Linked DNA regions of Xenopus tropicalis. The protein of the gene in region 3 purifies or fractionates together with the protein of the main gene of each other region. This does not show direct contact. Links are inferred from orthologs where the notes say so. Each region holds a gene or a part of one and is shown on either strand. Other genes may lie near its edges.

Region 1 (5,277 bases), on a different chromosome or scaffold from region 3:
TCATTTGAAATAACTCCTGTGGGAGCTAACATTTTCAAAATGCCTCAGTTACCAACCCAATTCAAACTGGGAACTGCAGTTTCAGCAGTAGCAGCTGAAGGCCACAGGCTTACTGGATCATGCTATATAGAGGACAGTATAGTGCAATTAGCAGGAAAACACTGGTCATTCCAGATGTGGGCTGTCCCACATATATTTCACAGCCTCTTGCAGAAAGTCTACTGGCCCTAAGCTATGATAGAACTGCTACTGAGTAAAACACAACTTTACTAGACTTAGAAACATCAAGAGAGCTTTTTTGCAAGCCTTTCTCAAGTTAAAGTAGTCCTCCAGCAGAAATGTTGGTCCTATTGATGTTATATAAGTCCTGTGAAGAAATCATACTTCTTTTATTCTTATTACTCATTACTGCTGGATTATTATCGAAATGCAAACTGCCCCATGCCCAGTGACCCACTTAGTCATGAGTGCTGCATCTATGTGCATATTGAAATAAATTAATTTCAAGGCTCTATAGTTTCAGAGTTTACAGTGCAGCATAATGCACCTTTGCACAGTACCTAGTGAAACAGCTATTCTCACTGCTGAGGGAGCAAGAACCAGCTGTATAGTAGCCCTGTGCCACAAAAACTCAACCCTATAAACTGCATGCCTATAACAATGGGGGAAAGTCCATTTCTACATTACAAAACCACCAAAAGAAGCACTCATTTATACACATCTAGCTAAAGGTATATAACAGGTATTCTGTATTTTATAGGTAAATTTAACTTTGAATGAACTTCGCCTATCCTTAGCTGCTTTTAATTACCGTAACCTTGATTTTATTGTTCTGGAATTGCTATCCTATATCTGCCTCTTTTCAGAACACAGGCTAGATTTTTATAGTTACTGGTACATTGTATAGATTATCGGTCTAAAGTAGCCCTGCCAATTCAGCTTCCACTCAGAATTCTATACTTATTGTACAGCGCTGTGGAATATGTTGGCGCTTTATAAATAATTGTTAATAATAAACTGCTGCCAGGTTGCTAAGTCAAGCTGAACCCCTAGCAACTAGACAACCATTGTAATTCCAAAATGGAAAGCTGCAAAAATTGTTGTTTTTCACTATCATTGTCCATAGCACAATTAAAGTTTATTTTAAGGGAATTAACCCATTAATCAAATGTAACAGGTTTTCTAAAATTATGTATTTAAATAGGCCCTTTGATTTTGCTATGCTAATCATTTTTCTGCTCACCACTTGTCTTTGAGCTGTGCAACTGACCTTGGCAATTGTATTTTCAGAGGAAGGCTAAAGTCACAGGAATGTAAAGCCAGCAATGAGCAGTTGCTTTTATAATAAGATGTGCTGTTTCACAGCAGTAGGTAGGTATACAGAAAATGCCAGGATGCTGGCAATAATAACAAACTGGCACTCACTAAGCAACAAAATACTTGCTGTGTTAACATGACACAGTAGGAGGATAAAGCCAGCATCATACATGAGTGAATGTGGCTCACTAGGACAATCTGTCACAGACTCCTTGTAAGTTTAATTGGTAATGGCAAGTCACCTAGCATGACATATGCCAATAACTGGAAAGGTTACTAGAAGTGTAATGTTGCTTTTTAATGGATTATACAGTTTCATGTGCAATAAGACTTGAATTAATACAGTACACAGAAAATAACAAAAGCATTTTTGTAGCTAGTGGTGAACACTCCCATGCAGGCTAAGGGACACTATGCGGATCTGCATAGGGTGCCCTTAGCCTAAGCGGAGTAAAAAAAATTGAGTCACACGATGTTGTCTAAAATGCTACAGTTTACCTTTACCAGTCCAACTTTGTTCAAGGACCAGATTATATTATACAAATAAATATATGGAGTACTTCTGCATACTGGGGGGCCATAAAGAAAGCCCCGTAGGACCATATCTGGCCCACATACCAACAGCAGGAAGCTGTGATCTATTTACTTTTAACGTGCAGTTCACCATCACAAAACATACTTTTTTTAAAATAGTATACCAAAGAATTATTGTTTGAAGATGCTACCCATGTATTATTTCTTCTGTTTGTCAAAAATTTGCTACCTACCAACAACTGTTCCTTTACTCTTGTGGGCTGTGGGCAGTGGTTTGCCAAACCACCCTGCAATCCTCTGCAATGGTAAATGATATGTCATGTTTGAAAATATCACGTGTTAATGCATGCTGCCCAGTACTGCAGCTACTCATCACCTCCTGCCAACTGAACAGAAGTACTGTAGCGCAGTAATAATCATCTGATTCCATATAATCTGCATACATTTAATACTTCTTTATTTTTCATGGGCAGGTAAGAAAATAAAAGTTACATCTGGCACACAGGCCTCCAATCACATAGTACTGCTCTACAGGACTGGCCAGTGCATGGCCACCTGAAAACCTTAGTTGTAAACACAAACAACAAAGAAACCATTCCTCTAATTATTAATGACTCCTTTTATTTGCTAGTGTTTTGGATCAGACTGTCTCTGTAGCTCGCCATAAACAGGCTGATAATCAGCCCTCCCAATGCGTTGGCAGCTTACTGTATGGAACCTATGCAACAGATACTTCTGGACCCCCAGTATGACGGTCAAATCAGAAAATATCTGCTTGTCTGGCATATGGACAGCTTATACAACATCTTTATGCAGTGGCATCATTTGCCACTAGCTGCTGTTTTTAAAGACTGTTAGACTAATGTCTTGGCAAACCTATTGGCATTCAAGCAAGACAAATACACCTTTTTGGTCAGAATACAAGTTATATTTATACAATACACTTGTTTGAAGCATATGCTTTGTGTTTGTTTGGGAAACTATACTTCATTCACCTGCTAAATGTTTAGCCTTTAGTTACTCAAGTTTACATGGCTCACACAGTAATATCATATGGAACTTTGTACATATATGTTGAGTGGTTGAGCCCATTCTGGCTATATACAAGTACCCTTTAGTTTCTACTGTCACATGTGAGATGTGTATTAATGCTACCCTTCCTGTCTACTGCACCTTTGCCATGGCTGCTCAATGCAGGAAAGATTACAATTCTTACATGTAAGGCCATCTTAAAAGCCAGACATGTAATCCATTCCCAAACTGACTGTGCCCAGACCCAAAGATATCCCAGGCATAGCCCCCAAGGTTAAGAAAGCCCTCACCACTGCTACATAAAGGTCTAACTAAATCCGTTTTCTAATGGAACCAAGTGGTAACAATGCCTGACGTGGCAGACAATTCAACACTGAGCCCATGTAGATTAAAATTCCATAAGCAAAAGCTTTCCCCGGCCTTATCCCCATAGAGAGAAAGGCGCATTCCTGGCAGTTCAGCTTGGTGCTGTTGTCAGACTTTAACTCCCAGCACCTCCTTACAGCCTTTGCTATAGCTGGGAGGTATAGTCATACAGCAAGCCTCTTACCCCTGACAAAAAAACCTAATTACCTAAGGCCCGATGGGCGCACAGAGGGACCACAGGTCCCCGGATAAGCCAAAGGCAGCACAATAGGAACACATACCTAGAAAAGCTCGCAGTCCTCCCCTCACCTACTGCGTCCCCGGCACCACCTCCAGCCTCCCCACTAACTCATTGGCTAACTCCAAACCAGCCGCCCTCCAACCTATCACGCACGCTGTTGTTTAGCCACTTTGTTATTGGTCAGCCAATCGACGCTGTGCGTCTTCACGCTGCGCCACGCTTGATGTGGGTAATGCGCGGTATTATAATGTGTATAGAGCCCAGTTATATAGCAATGCCGCGCTTTGGCTCTCAATATACACGGTTCATTATATAGCTATATATTGCCTTGCTATGCCTTAAAGTTAGAGAGCGCCAATTTCGATTTAGCTGTTCATCACTTTTGATAATCTGATTAATTATGCTTTATTCACCCACAGAGTAAAGACAACCAAGGCACTTTCCAAACATAGTTGCATGAGACGTAAAGCCTCACTGTGTGTTTTCAATCAGGTTGCCCAGTTCCAAAATGGCCGCTGAGCCACGTTTACGTCACGCCCAAGGTCCTCGCTTGGCGGTAGCGCGCACGCCCAACAATGCAGCCAATAGCTGGAGCTTGGCGATAACGCGCACGCCCAACAATGCAGCCAATGGCTGGAGCTGACGTTGACTTTGCTAGGTGAGCGGCGCAAACTGTCACCGGCACTGGGATACACACACGTGACCCGGAGTTGCGCGATTTTGTTCTTGGAATACTGATTGTGTCGGAGTTGTCGTGGGAAAGGATTGGATTCCGGGGAAGAAGATACACGGCTGGAGCTTTAGGACAGACTGTTTCTCCAGGTACGAGTAGTGTGAATAGCAGTGTCCAGAGCGTCCCTAAGGAATATACCAAACCACTGCGGAGGTCTTGCCTATGTGGCTTATAAATGTCACTGGGCTGCCGACCTTCATGTTCAGTTGCCTCTAACTCCATAGTAACTTGGGTTGAAAAAAAAGCGTGAATCGAGTTAAGATTTTAATGTCCTATAGAAAACCTTTGTTATATAAGGGAGACAGTGATCCATTGCTGGTATTTATAAGCCCATGTTCCACGTTACACCATGGGATCAGAATTTTAGTAGTGGCCCATCTCCTAATGGCCTTTACAGCTTCCTGTGCCCCTGTGTTTAGCTTTCCTTTCATTTAGGGAGTTGTAGTTCTACATCAGGCTTAGAGGAAATACAATGGACTCTCCTATGGAGGATTCTGTAGTACCGAAGTTTAACAATATATTAGGTTGGGCATGTTATGCTTTGTTTTGGGCTAATGTTCTAGGCCAAGGCAACTATAGCCCATTAGCAGGGAACATCTGTGCCTACAAATATGCCCCCAGTAGCTCCCCATCTTAAAATTAGCTGACTTACTTCAGATGCCCTGGGCTGCTGTCTGTTACCTTAGATTAAGGGCAAACTTGCAATATTCTCTGTAAATACAGTATAATATTCACAATGTAATTCACTATAAGACCTGAGTTTCGAATCTGCTATGGGCAAATTTGAAGGCCTGGATCATTAAAGAGATACTGACGTCTGAAATAAAGCTGTCTTTAAATATATCATAACATTGTCTTTGAATGATCTTTATAATTTTGCTGTAAACATACTTTCTGATGCTTTTATATAACCTATCTGATCCCCATGTCCCCCTATGAGGGGGCTGCCAAATTTGTGCAGCAGTGGTCCGTTAACATTAGAAGCTATAACTGACAGGCTGAGAAGGGACAGTCAGGTTTAGGAACCTCAAGTAACAATTACTTACAAAAGCAG
Region 2 (4,502 bases), on a different chromosome or scaffold from region 3:
TCACTATTTATTGGGCTGGGGGGGCTGTTTGTGCCTCTGGGTACTGGGAATGCCAGGGGGGCTGTAAGGTGCCACAGACAGTCACTATTTATTGGGCTGGGGGGGCTGTTTGTGCCTCTGGGTACTGGGAATGCCAGGGGGGCTGTAAGGTGCCACAGACAGTCACTATTTATTGGGCTGCTGGGGGGCTGTTTGTGCCTCTGGGTACTGGGAATGCCAGGGGGGCTGTAAGGTGCCACAGACAGTCACTATTTATTGGGCTGGGGGGCTGTTTGTGCCTCTGGGTACTGGGAATGCCAGAGGGGCTGCTGTAAGATGCCACAGACAGTCACTATTTATTGGGCTGGGGGGGCTGTTTGGGCCTCTGTGTACTGGGAATGCCAGAGGGGCTGCTGTAAGATGCCACAGACAGTCACTATTTATTGGGCTGCCGGGGGGCTGTTTGGGCCTCTGGGTACTTGTAATGCCAGGGACTATTTTGTATCCTAGTCCGGGCCTGTATCCCTGTGTGTCCTGTGAGCTGCAGCCTGTGTGAGGGGACAGATTATCATCCACTTTGGGAAATTGTGGTGCCGTGTGTGTTGCCAGTTTTTCCTAATTGCTGTGTGTGTGCCTTTATTTGTGCCAGTAATGCAGGGGGGCATCAGCTAGTTTGCAAATGGGTTGCATGTGTGGTTGCGTCAGTACAGCCGGCATGAAGGCTTCTCACTTACCCATGGGCCCTGTACCCTGGGCGCTGTTCCTCAGAGCAGGCTGAACTGCTGCAAAGTACAAGGTGTCGGTGTAAATAAGATTTAAGCACACAGAATTGCATGTGTATATGAGCCTTAATATGTACTATACATTTGTTTCACTAGTTGTACAGGTGCAACGTGGAGCTGTTTGGGTGAGGGGGCTGTTTGCTTTCTGCCCTGATCTGGTGGCTGCACACTTCCTTGTGCTGTATATATGGGGTACCCTTCACAGGGGTTTGTCCGGTTGCCATTGATCATTGGTTGTGTATAAAGGAAATATTTCCATTCATGTTCTACTTATCTTATGTGCAGTGTAACATTCTGCAGTATACTAATAGTATCTAATGATAATGATTTACAGACCGCAAACACACACTCTAAAGGTCCCCATACACGGGCCGATAGTAGCTGCCGATATGGGTCCCTTAGACCGATTCGGTAGCTAATCAGCCCATGTATGGGCGCTACCGACGGGCCTGCCCGACCGATATCTGGCCCGAAATCGGCCGGATCTCGATTGGGCGGGTTAGAAAATCTAGTCAGATCGGGGACTGCATCGGCTCGTTGATGTGGTCCCCAGACCGACTTTGCCTATACCTGTCATTATAATTCGATCATTTGGTCCCAGGGCCAAACAATCGAATTACCCTGGATTCTCCCAATATCACCCACCCGTAGGTGGGGATATCGGGAGAAGATATGTTGCCAAGCGAGCGGATCTTATGGTGTATGGGGACCTTTACTTGCAAATAAAAACTCTTGTGAGTTTATTTATTTACTAACTTTTGCTCCGGGTCTAGTAACTCATGGCAACCAATGATATGATTGCTTTCATGATTCTGACTGCTCTAGACCAGTACAAACTGCTACCCAATGCCCTGTGGGGAAATGCCTAATATGCAGTTGGTTACAAGGACATTCTAAGCACAATATTCCCTAAATTGGGGTTCAGGTAATAACCTTAGGGAAAGAATGGGGTAAAGCAAGAACATGTTATGTAGCTATTTTAAAGACTTTACTGAACTGTAGAGCTGTTCTGTTGTTGGAACTGAGGGGTTAATCATATTTTGTGCCGGCTGGTGTCTCTGCTGGATTTTCCTTTGTAACCTTGGTAACCCATGAATTGGCACCCTGTTAGTGGAACGTATTCCTGCCAGGCATCCTGCTGCAGCACCCTCTGCTCTTGCGGTTGGTCTCGGCCGGGCTGGGCAGGCGCCTTTGAGCCTCCGTGGAACCAGTGAGTCATTAGGAAACCAGGAAATGTATCTGGCTTGTCTGCAGCATCACTTGGCATCATTTACTTGCCGGGGCCTATGAGCAGTACTGATCTCCCATACTGACTGCACTGGTTAATAGGAAATATAATGTCCTGGAATTTCCATTTCAAAGGAAGTGCTAACAGTTACACACAGCCTCTATAATGTATTGGCTTTGATACCAGTGCTCCCAGTGCACCCAGATGTCACTTCCCTGCAAGTTAAACCTATAGTGATTATGCCACCGGGGGGGCTACTGTAAGATGCCATAGACCTGCCCTTTCTATTAGGCCTGAGGGAGGGATGTATGTGCCTCTGTGTATTTGGACTCTCAGGCTGTGCATAATCAATACATTTTCCTTGTTTGTTCTCTATTAGGAATGCCTGTGTAGCAGAGTATCCCTCCGTCCCTTGCGTGCAGCCAGATCCTACTCTACTGCTGAATCATCTGGGTATGTGTGGCTTTTTCTTGCAGCTTGTTTAACTGTTATACCCCAGTTTTTCTTTTAAAACCTCTAGTGGAATGGGAAATAATATACAGTTACACTTTTAGTCAGTGGTTATAGGCCTGCCCATGTAGCGTGCCCAATTTAGCCTCTGATATGTATAAGCAATCTATAGGCCTGTATAAGGCTTTATGGACAGGAGCCTTACTAATGTGCCTATTACTGCCCCATAAGGAAGGGTAGCAAAGCTGCACCGTGTGTTAGTAAATGGGCCCATGTTTGTATATTTTGGCATCAGATGACTTTGCTTTAGGGCACGTGTATTACTGCAGGGTGAATCATGTACATCCATTATCCATGATGGTTCCATTTGTAGCTAATCCTTTATTTACTAAGTCTCAGTAGGCATGCAGTCTGACCAATTTACTACTTTGTTTCTTTTTTCAGTCCCTCTGCTGCAAAGATCATTGGTGCCGGCATCTTGCTCACAGGCGGAGGCATCGGGGGCACTGTCCTGTACGCCAGCTGGGACCCACGATTTCGAGAGAATGTTGAGAAGACTATTCCCTACTCCGACAAGCTGTTTGACTTGGCTCTCGGGCCTCCTGCTCCAGCCAGTCTGCCTGTGCCAAAGAAACCAGTAAGACATATATCCTGCCTCTTATATTAATAATAATAATAAGGCAAATTAGTTTTGCATTTGCCGATTAGAGGCAAATTCACTGTACTCCAGTAGTCCTTCCAAATTCCTTTGCACAAAATAAATGCATTATACTTTTTTTCAGCTAAAATCGGGCCCACTTCAGATTTCCTCTGTGTCTGAAGTGATGAAGGAATCCAAGATGCCTAAGAAAGAGAAGGTCGAGGCTCGTCTACCAACTCCTCCTCCCCCACCTACGGAAAATGTGGATTTGGAAGGTAACGGTGCATATGGTGGAATGGGGGAGCATGGGAGAAACTGCTTTTGCATGTCAGCAAGGGGGGAAATCTATTGTGGGAGATGGGCAGACTAGGGTGAATAGTGGGACACTTGGCATTGGGTAAACCTTCATGTATGGTAAAACCTACCCACATTAATGTGTACATATCTGTTTGTGCAGCATCATCGCATGTAGCCCAAATAATCTCAGCAACTGGGGAAGCTCTGTCTGTTCCGGCTTCAGTCGTTCACGAGGAGGAGTCTTCCAAAGCCTCAGAGCCAGTGGAGCCAGCAGTCACTGCAGGTAGTAACGTTTCAACATAGCGGAAGTTACGGTTTCCAGGGTGGCGACCCAAGCTTCGAGTCTAATGCTATGGTACTTAAAGGCATTCATTTTAAATTAGATATCTTCTAACTTTTTAAAGAGGAGCACTGCAAGGAGTGTGAGCACGAGGCTACGCACAAGTTGAAAGAACGGCCTCCTGAAGAGGTGGCGGCTCGCCTTGTTCAGCAAGATAAGGAAGAACAAGAAAGGATTAAATGTAAGTGTGTGAGTGCTCGTTTGCTGCTATTGGCAGGCACCATTTTACCATGTATTCCCCTCTCTAGCTGTTCTGAATAACCATAAGTAGAAGAAATACAAATCCCCTTCCCAGTTAAACCCCCTGTAACTCCTATATTGGATTCCTTAACTGACTGCCTACGTTGGAATATGCTTATCTTTAGATTCCACTTTCTTATTTGGCCCTAATTAAATACAGAAGTAAGGATGCTGACAATCTAATATACCACAGTACATCACTTTCAGGGGAGACCATCTGACCAATCATTTTCATTCTATAAAGCACAGAGAATGAGCTCTCCATGACTGTATTCCTTATTAACCCATGAGTGGGACAGTGCTGTAGTGTAGCGTGGCCTCACATAAACCATGGGGGGGATTTAAACCAATCTTGTGTGTGTTTCTATATTACCCAAAACCCCTGCGGCAAATATCCATTGCTTCCTCTCCCTTCTTGCCTAGTGACCTGACTGATATTGTCCATCCCCACTGCACTTGCACATTTACGTATCATCAATAAATTGGGCTAGCATAACCTTATATCTGCAATTTCTGTAATGTATCTGCCCCAAAAGGGCCACGGAA
Region 3 (5,300 bases):
GGTAGCCTAAAAATACAAAAATGAATTTACACAATGTATTGTTTTTGCTTCAGTTAAAAGCTAAGTAACCCCTATAAATGTAGCATATTATACACTGAACAATACTAGCCCACTGGTTCAGAAGCCCTATAGCGGTAATAATCTAGCCTTTGTTTTCAACTTTTATAGCCCTTCTTTTGCATGAGTGGCACTGCACATGCTCAGAGTGCTCTGGGCTGCTGTTGAGAAGTTAAGCTTAAGGGGTCATCTGAAATCATCAAAACATTAGCAGAAAGTGAGACACAGAATTCACTGGTTTATGTGCTACCACGCAATGGCAATATGAAAATATGAATGGCACATGAAATCAGCCTTGTATTGTGAATATATGTTCACATCTGGTATATGCTACCAGAAGGAACTTCATTGGCACAGGCCTTCATAGCTACAGGGCTTAATGCACACTGCTGACTTGTCTCCAGCTGTCCAGTTCTAGCTGCACGAAAACCAGATGTTGCTCTATTTATCTAAAGAGAGATATTGTTGCAGCTTGGAGCCATCCAATTTTAAAGAAAAATGGACCTTTCAGTGTTCAAATATATCAGACAAGTTTTGGGGGCCGTGCCCTTCATGTTCTTGTATCTTTCAGTGGATGCTAAAACTGTTATTTGTGTGCACTCTTAGATATTTACTTAATTTGCACCATTATTAGTTTGTATCCCCTTGCATTATTAATGCATTGTAATGCTCATTGTAGCCTAGCAGCAGTATATAATTATGAATATGGATTAGTATATATTTTAATTTCAACATGGTTTAAACAATTCAATCTGTCTGAACTCCTTCTGACACTTGTAGATGTCATGGGCATGGGAGTATGCCCCATAGAAGTGTACTGGTGAGTATGCTTTACCTCACTAGTTAAACCAACTGATAGCACCCAGGCTGGTCAGATCTGAATCACAACAAAGTCTGCAGGAGACTTATTAGGCTCTGCTGTAGTGACTGGTGGAGGTTATGGAACTTATACCTTTCTAAAATATGGCATCAGACCCAATATTGAATCATGGAATTTAGATGTCCGCTTTTAAAGTTGAGATATAGCGATCCTAGCGGATTTAGAAAATGTCAGTGATATCATGTACTAACACTCTTGCTGTCTCTCACTCAACTCACAAGATATTGGTATTCAGTGTTCTACCAAAACATCAGTTTTTGGTTGATATTCACTATTATGCACATTTGATAAAATAATTTCTTTTATAGACCCTTACAAGTTTCTCAGTGCCATAAAATGTGTTGCCCTCTGACCCAGAGAATAAATGTGGCTTATGGGCAAGTTTACTTGCTATTCTTGTGTTCATCCAGCAGCATGAATGGGAACAGTTTATGTGGATTTGGAAACACATGTAGATCACCATCAGCAAAGATTTTCTTATTTTAACTGAAAAGACCACAAAGATTCTGGCTCCTGTCACATTAAACTGGACACTTTGAACAATAATTTTCAGAATAAACCAGTGGAGATTATTGCCATGTTTTGTATTAAAGGATAGTCCACAACCCACTGGGATGACACATTTTGGATCCCCCATCCAAAACACAATGCTATAGTCAGTACCTAAAAGCGAGCTTGACTTCAGCATTTTACCAGTGGCATAGCCTGCCATAGCCAACACAACACACAGGTTCGGTGATGCAGTTTTGTACAATGGCAGGTTGTTTTACATAATATAAACTTAAATATAAAACAAACCAAAAATGAAATGGCAAGTGATAACCATCCTTGTGAAACATTACCTTGCATTCTGAAAAGTAAACAACCATCCCAGGAAAATACCTTCTCTCTAAGTGTCAGCTATTAATATCAAAGCAACAAAGGGCATCAACAGCTTAACTACAAGACCACCACAAAATTTTTTTTTAGGATCCCCCCCCCCAAAATTTGGGAATAAGATACTTTTTTATTAAACTGCCCTACTTTTACCCCTACTACTGGATCCCTCCAGCAGTGGTACGATCTGCTTCCTTCATAGTTACATTCTAATCAAGGCCTGGACTGGCAATCTGTGGATTCTGGCAAATGCCAGAGGGGCTGCTGTAAAATGCCATAGACAGTATTGATTGGGCTGGTGGGGGCTTATTGGGCATCTGTGTAATGCAGGGCCTATTTAGAAGCCCAGTTCAAACCTGATCTAATCACCAATACTTCTAGTAGCAGATAGGTCAGGACAGGTTTATGTGTGTGCTGGGGTTCACTTAGAGGGGTTGAACTTGATTTTTTTTAACCCAGCTTAACTAGGAACCTGCAAATACAAGGGTGTAACTATAAAGGAAGGGACCATTGCACCTTCTGGTGCCTAAGAGTTATAGGGAACACCTTACGGCCCTGGGCACAGTTTCAGTATTTGAAAACATCTATTCCGAAACCTAAGGTGGCCCTAAAGTTAATTTTGATGTGGGGCTGGGACCATTGCACCTTCTGGGTGCCTAAGAGGTATAGGGAACACCATGGGGCACTGGGCACAGTTTCAGTATTTGAAATCATCTATTCCGAAACCTAAGGTGGCCCTAAAGTTAATTATCATGTAGGGCCCAGTAACCTCTAGTAACACCACTGCCCAAACACATGCAAACATCCTGTAGTGATAGAACTGGTTCAAACCTTTAGGTGACAACAAAATAATGAATTTTCTTGTTGAATAAAAAAAAAAAAAACTATAAATTTCTCATAAACTGGCTGCTGGGGGTGCAGTTTCACTGGAATATATAAATGCTATATCCAACTTTCACACAGATCCAAGCAGGATATAGGATCCCACTCCTTTTATTTTTCAAATATGTATATAAACAAGGCGGCAGGACATTCAAACCCCTGTGCTTAACATAATTCATTAAGGAAAGTGAAAGTAAAACCTACATTCACAAGTGTTATTAAAAAAAAAAAAAGTTTTATGAAGTGTTGCAAGTGTTTCATTTAGAAAATGACAGACGGGAAAGATAAATGCCATCTCGCCACACTTACAAAGTGCCCTACCCCTACGTTATCTAGCTGCGGTTAAACTACAACTCCCAGAATCCCCTCGTAAGCTTTCACTGTGCAAGTACGGGCAGAAAGGTAATTCAGCAATAGACTGACAACCACAAGCTAAATCATGGAGTAGAAGTTTGCCATTCACGCTGCATGCAGCTCCAAGCATGGGGTCAGGGAGGCGGGTAAGAGAAACATGCCGGGGGTCACAATGCAATGCCGGCTTGTGAGAGCCCTGAGAAGTCCCCGGAGCCCTGCCCTTCCAGCCACATACTCTGGCACAGGAGTACCGCTACGGGAGCGGCATGACACCCCCAAATCTCACCTCCCTCCTGACGTTAAGAAGTGAATAATAGTCATCGTTATCCACTTCATCTTCCATAAAGGACGCCGCCATCTTCAGAACCTTTCACCTTGACCGTCGAGTCTTCAGACAAGGTAGGGTCAACCTCCGGCTGAAGGGAGAGCCGGGGGAACAGCGACACCTGCAGAACGGAGGGGACATTGCAGCATCGGCTGTTGAAAACTACCAAGTGACACAAACAAGCTAATACTAGCTATACCAATGATGATGTTATACGCCCATAATTAAGGTGCTGCTTTGCTAGCTGGCAAATTGCAGAAATGCTCTTTAGCTGCATACTGTGCTGGAGTCTAAGTAGACAGGCTGTATGCATTTAAGTGAACAAGAGATGGGTTGTAGTGTTGCTACTGTAGGGATCTATAGGGTTAAACTGCACCTAAGGCTTTAAACCTTACCACTTCTTTAGTCTGTGCTGTTACTGGGCAAAGGCCCATGTATCAGTTTAGAGATACCTTATTGGTTTATAGGTTGACTCCACCCTTTGCACGCCAATATAGTTTGGCAAAGGGGTGGGTCTTCCTCTTTGGCTGCATCTACTGACCGAGGTGGAAGTTCCACTGAGCCTGGGATCAACAGGGCCCCAGTAAAGCATTTTACCCTAGAGTCTGCATCTACTCTAGAGAGGTCAGGGACAGGAACCATGTGAATGAGGACCAGCTAGATAGTTACTCTTGCCGAGCACTTTCTAGTAAAGTGAGATAGAGAGGGAAGGAAGCAAGAGCAGTTTTGGCTCCACCAAAGAAAGTAGTTGGAAGTATTCTTCCATACAGGCAATGTTGCCTTAGCATAGGGCCACGGTTAAGACTTAGAAGGGAGGCAGGCAGTATCTGAATCCTGATCCATAGTTACTGTGGGACCCTGAAGGCTAGAGGTAGTCAACCTGAGGAGTGTGGTATCCAATCTGACTGTTCCAAAGGGTGGCCAAACTGACCAGGTGCACCCTCTCTGCGCTGTCCTAAGAGTATTACTATATTATAGAAGCTATATGTGAGTATTGCAATAACCCTGCATTTTGATTGTCTCTGCCAATAAACCAATTCTATTGTTCAACTGCAAGAACCTTCTGGCGCCCATTTGTTACTTTGCACTGCACACAGTTATAATGGGTTGTAGTTTCACTACACCATAGCTCACTTAGCGAAGGCCCATCCTGAAGGATTGAGTCGCGTGTACCCCATACTCTAAACCTACACTATCCATGCTGTTGGCTTGGTTACATAGTTACATAGGGTTGAAAAAAGACCAGTTTCCATCAAGTTCAACCCATCCAAGTAAACCCAGCACACTTAACCCACACCTACCAATCTATACACTCACATACATACACTATATATACAACCACTAGTACTAACTGTAGATATTAGTATCACAATAGCCTTGGATATTCTGATTGATCAAGAACTCATCCAGGCCCCTCTTAAAGGCATTAACAGAATCTGCCATTACCACATCACTAGGAAGGGCATTCCATAACCTCACTGCCCTCACCGTGAAAAACCACCTACGCTGCTTCAAATGGAAGCTCCTTTCCTCTAATCTAAAGGGGTGACCTCTGGTGCGCTGATTGTTTTTATGGGAAAAAAGAACATCCCCCAACTGCCTATAATCCCCTCTAATGTACTTGTACAGAGTAATCATGTCCCCTCGCAAGCGCCTCTTTTCCAGAGAAAACAACCCCAACCTTGACAGTCTCACCTCATAGTTTAAATCTTCCATCCCCTTTACCAGTTTAGTTGCACGTCTCTGCACTTTCTCCAGCTCATTAATATCCTTCTTAAGGACTGGAGCCCAAAACTGCACTGCATACTCAAGATGAGGCCTTACCAGGGACCTATAAAGGGGCAAAATTATGTTCTCATCCCTTGAGTCAATGCCCTTTTTTATACAAGACAGCACTTTATTTGCTTTAGTAGCCACAGAATGACA

What was found.
Region 1: the proteins of dnajc11 (region 3) and armc1 purify together in Homo sapiens (affinity purification with mass spectrometry; 4 studies listed by BioGRID and IntAct, counting the BioPlex papers as one, with this or other methods). This does not show direct contact. The link is inferred for Xenopus tropicalis from reciprocal best matches to the Homo sapiens genes DNAJC11 and ARMC1.
Region 2: the proteins of dnajc11 (region 3) and immt purify together in Homo sapiens (co-immunoprecipitation; 3 studies listed by BioGRID and IntAct, with this or other methods). This does not show direct contact. The link is inferred for Xenopus tropicalis from reciprocal best matches to the Homo sapiens genes DNAJC11 and IMMT.

What each region holds. Positions count from the first base shown.
Region 1 is NC_030682.2:118,506,809-118,512,085, forward strand, and holds the start of armc1 (armadillo repeat-containing protein 1), read right to left. Parts: upstream 3,550-5,277; 5' UTR 3,531-3,549; intron 3,507-3,530; exon of another isoform or gene 3,457-3,506; intron 2,149-3,456; exon of another isoform or gene 2,085-2,148; intron 1-2,084.
Region 2 is NC_030677.2:17,818,636-17,823,137, reverse strand, and holds part of immt (MICOS complex subunit MIC60), read left to right. Parts: intron 1-2,368; coding exon 2,369-2,442; intron 2,443-2,883; coding exon 2,884-3,076; intron 3,077-3,221; coding exon 3,222-3,354; intron 3,355-3,536; coding exon 3,537-3,659; intron 3,660-3,780; coding exon 3,781-3,897; intron 3,898-4,502. UniProt on the Homo sapiens protein: Component of the MICOS complex, a large protein complex of the mitochondrial inner membrane that plays crucial roles in the maintenance of crista junctions, inner membrane architecture, and formation of contact sites to the outer membrane.
Region 3 is NC_030683.2:99,798,596-99,803,895, forward strand, and holds the start of dnajc11 (dnaJ homolog subfamily C member 11), read right to left. Parts: upstream 3,424-5,300; 5' UTR 3,408-3,423; coding exon 3,336-3,407; intron 1-3,335.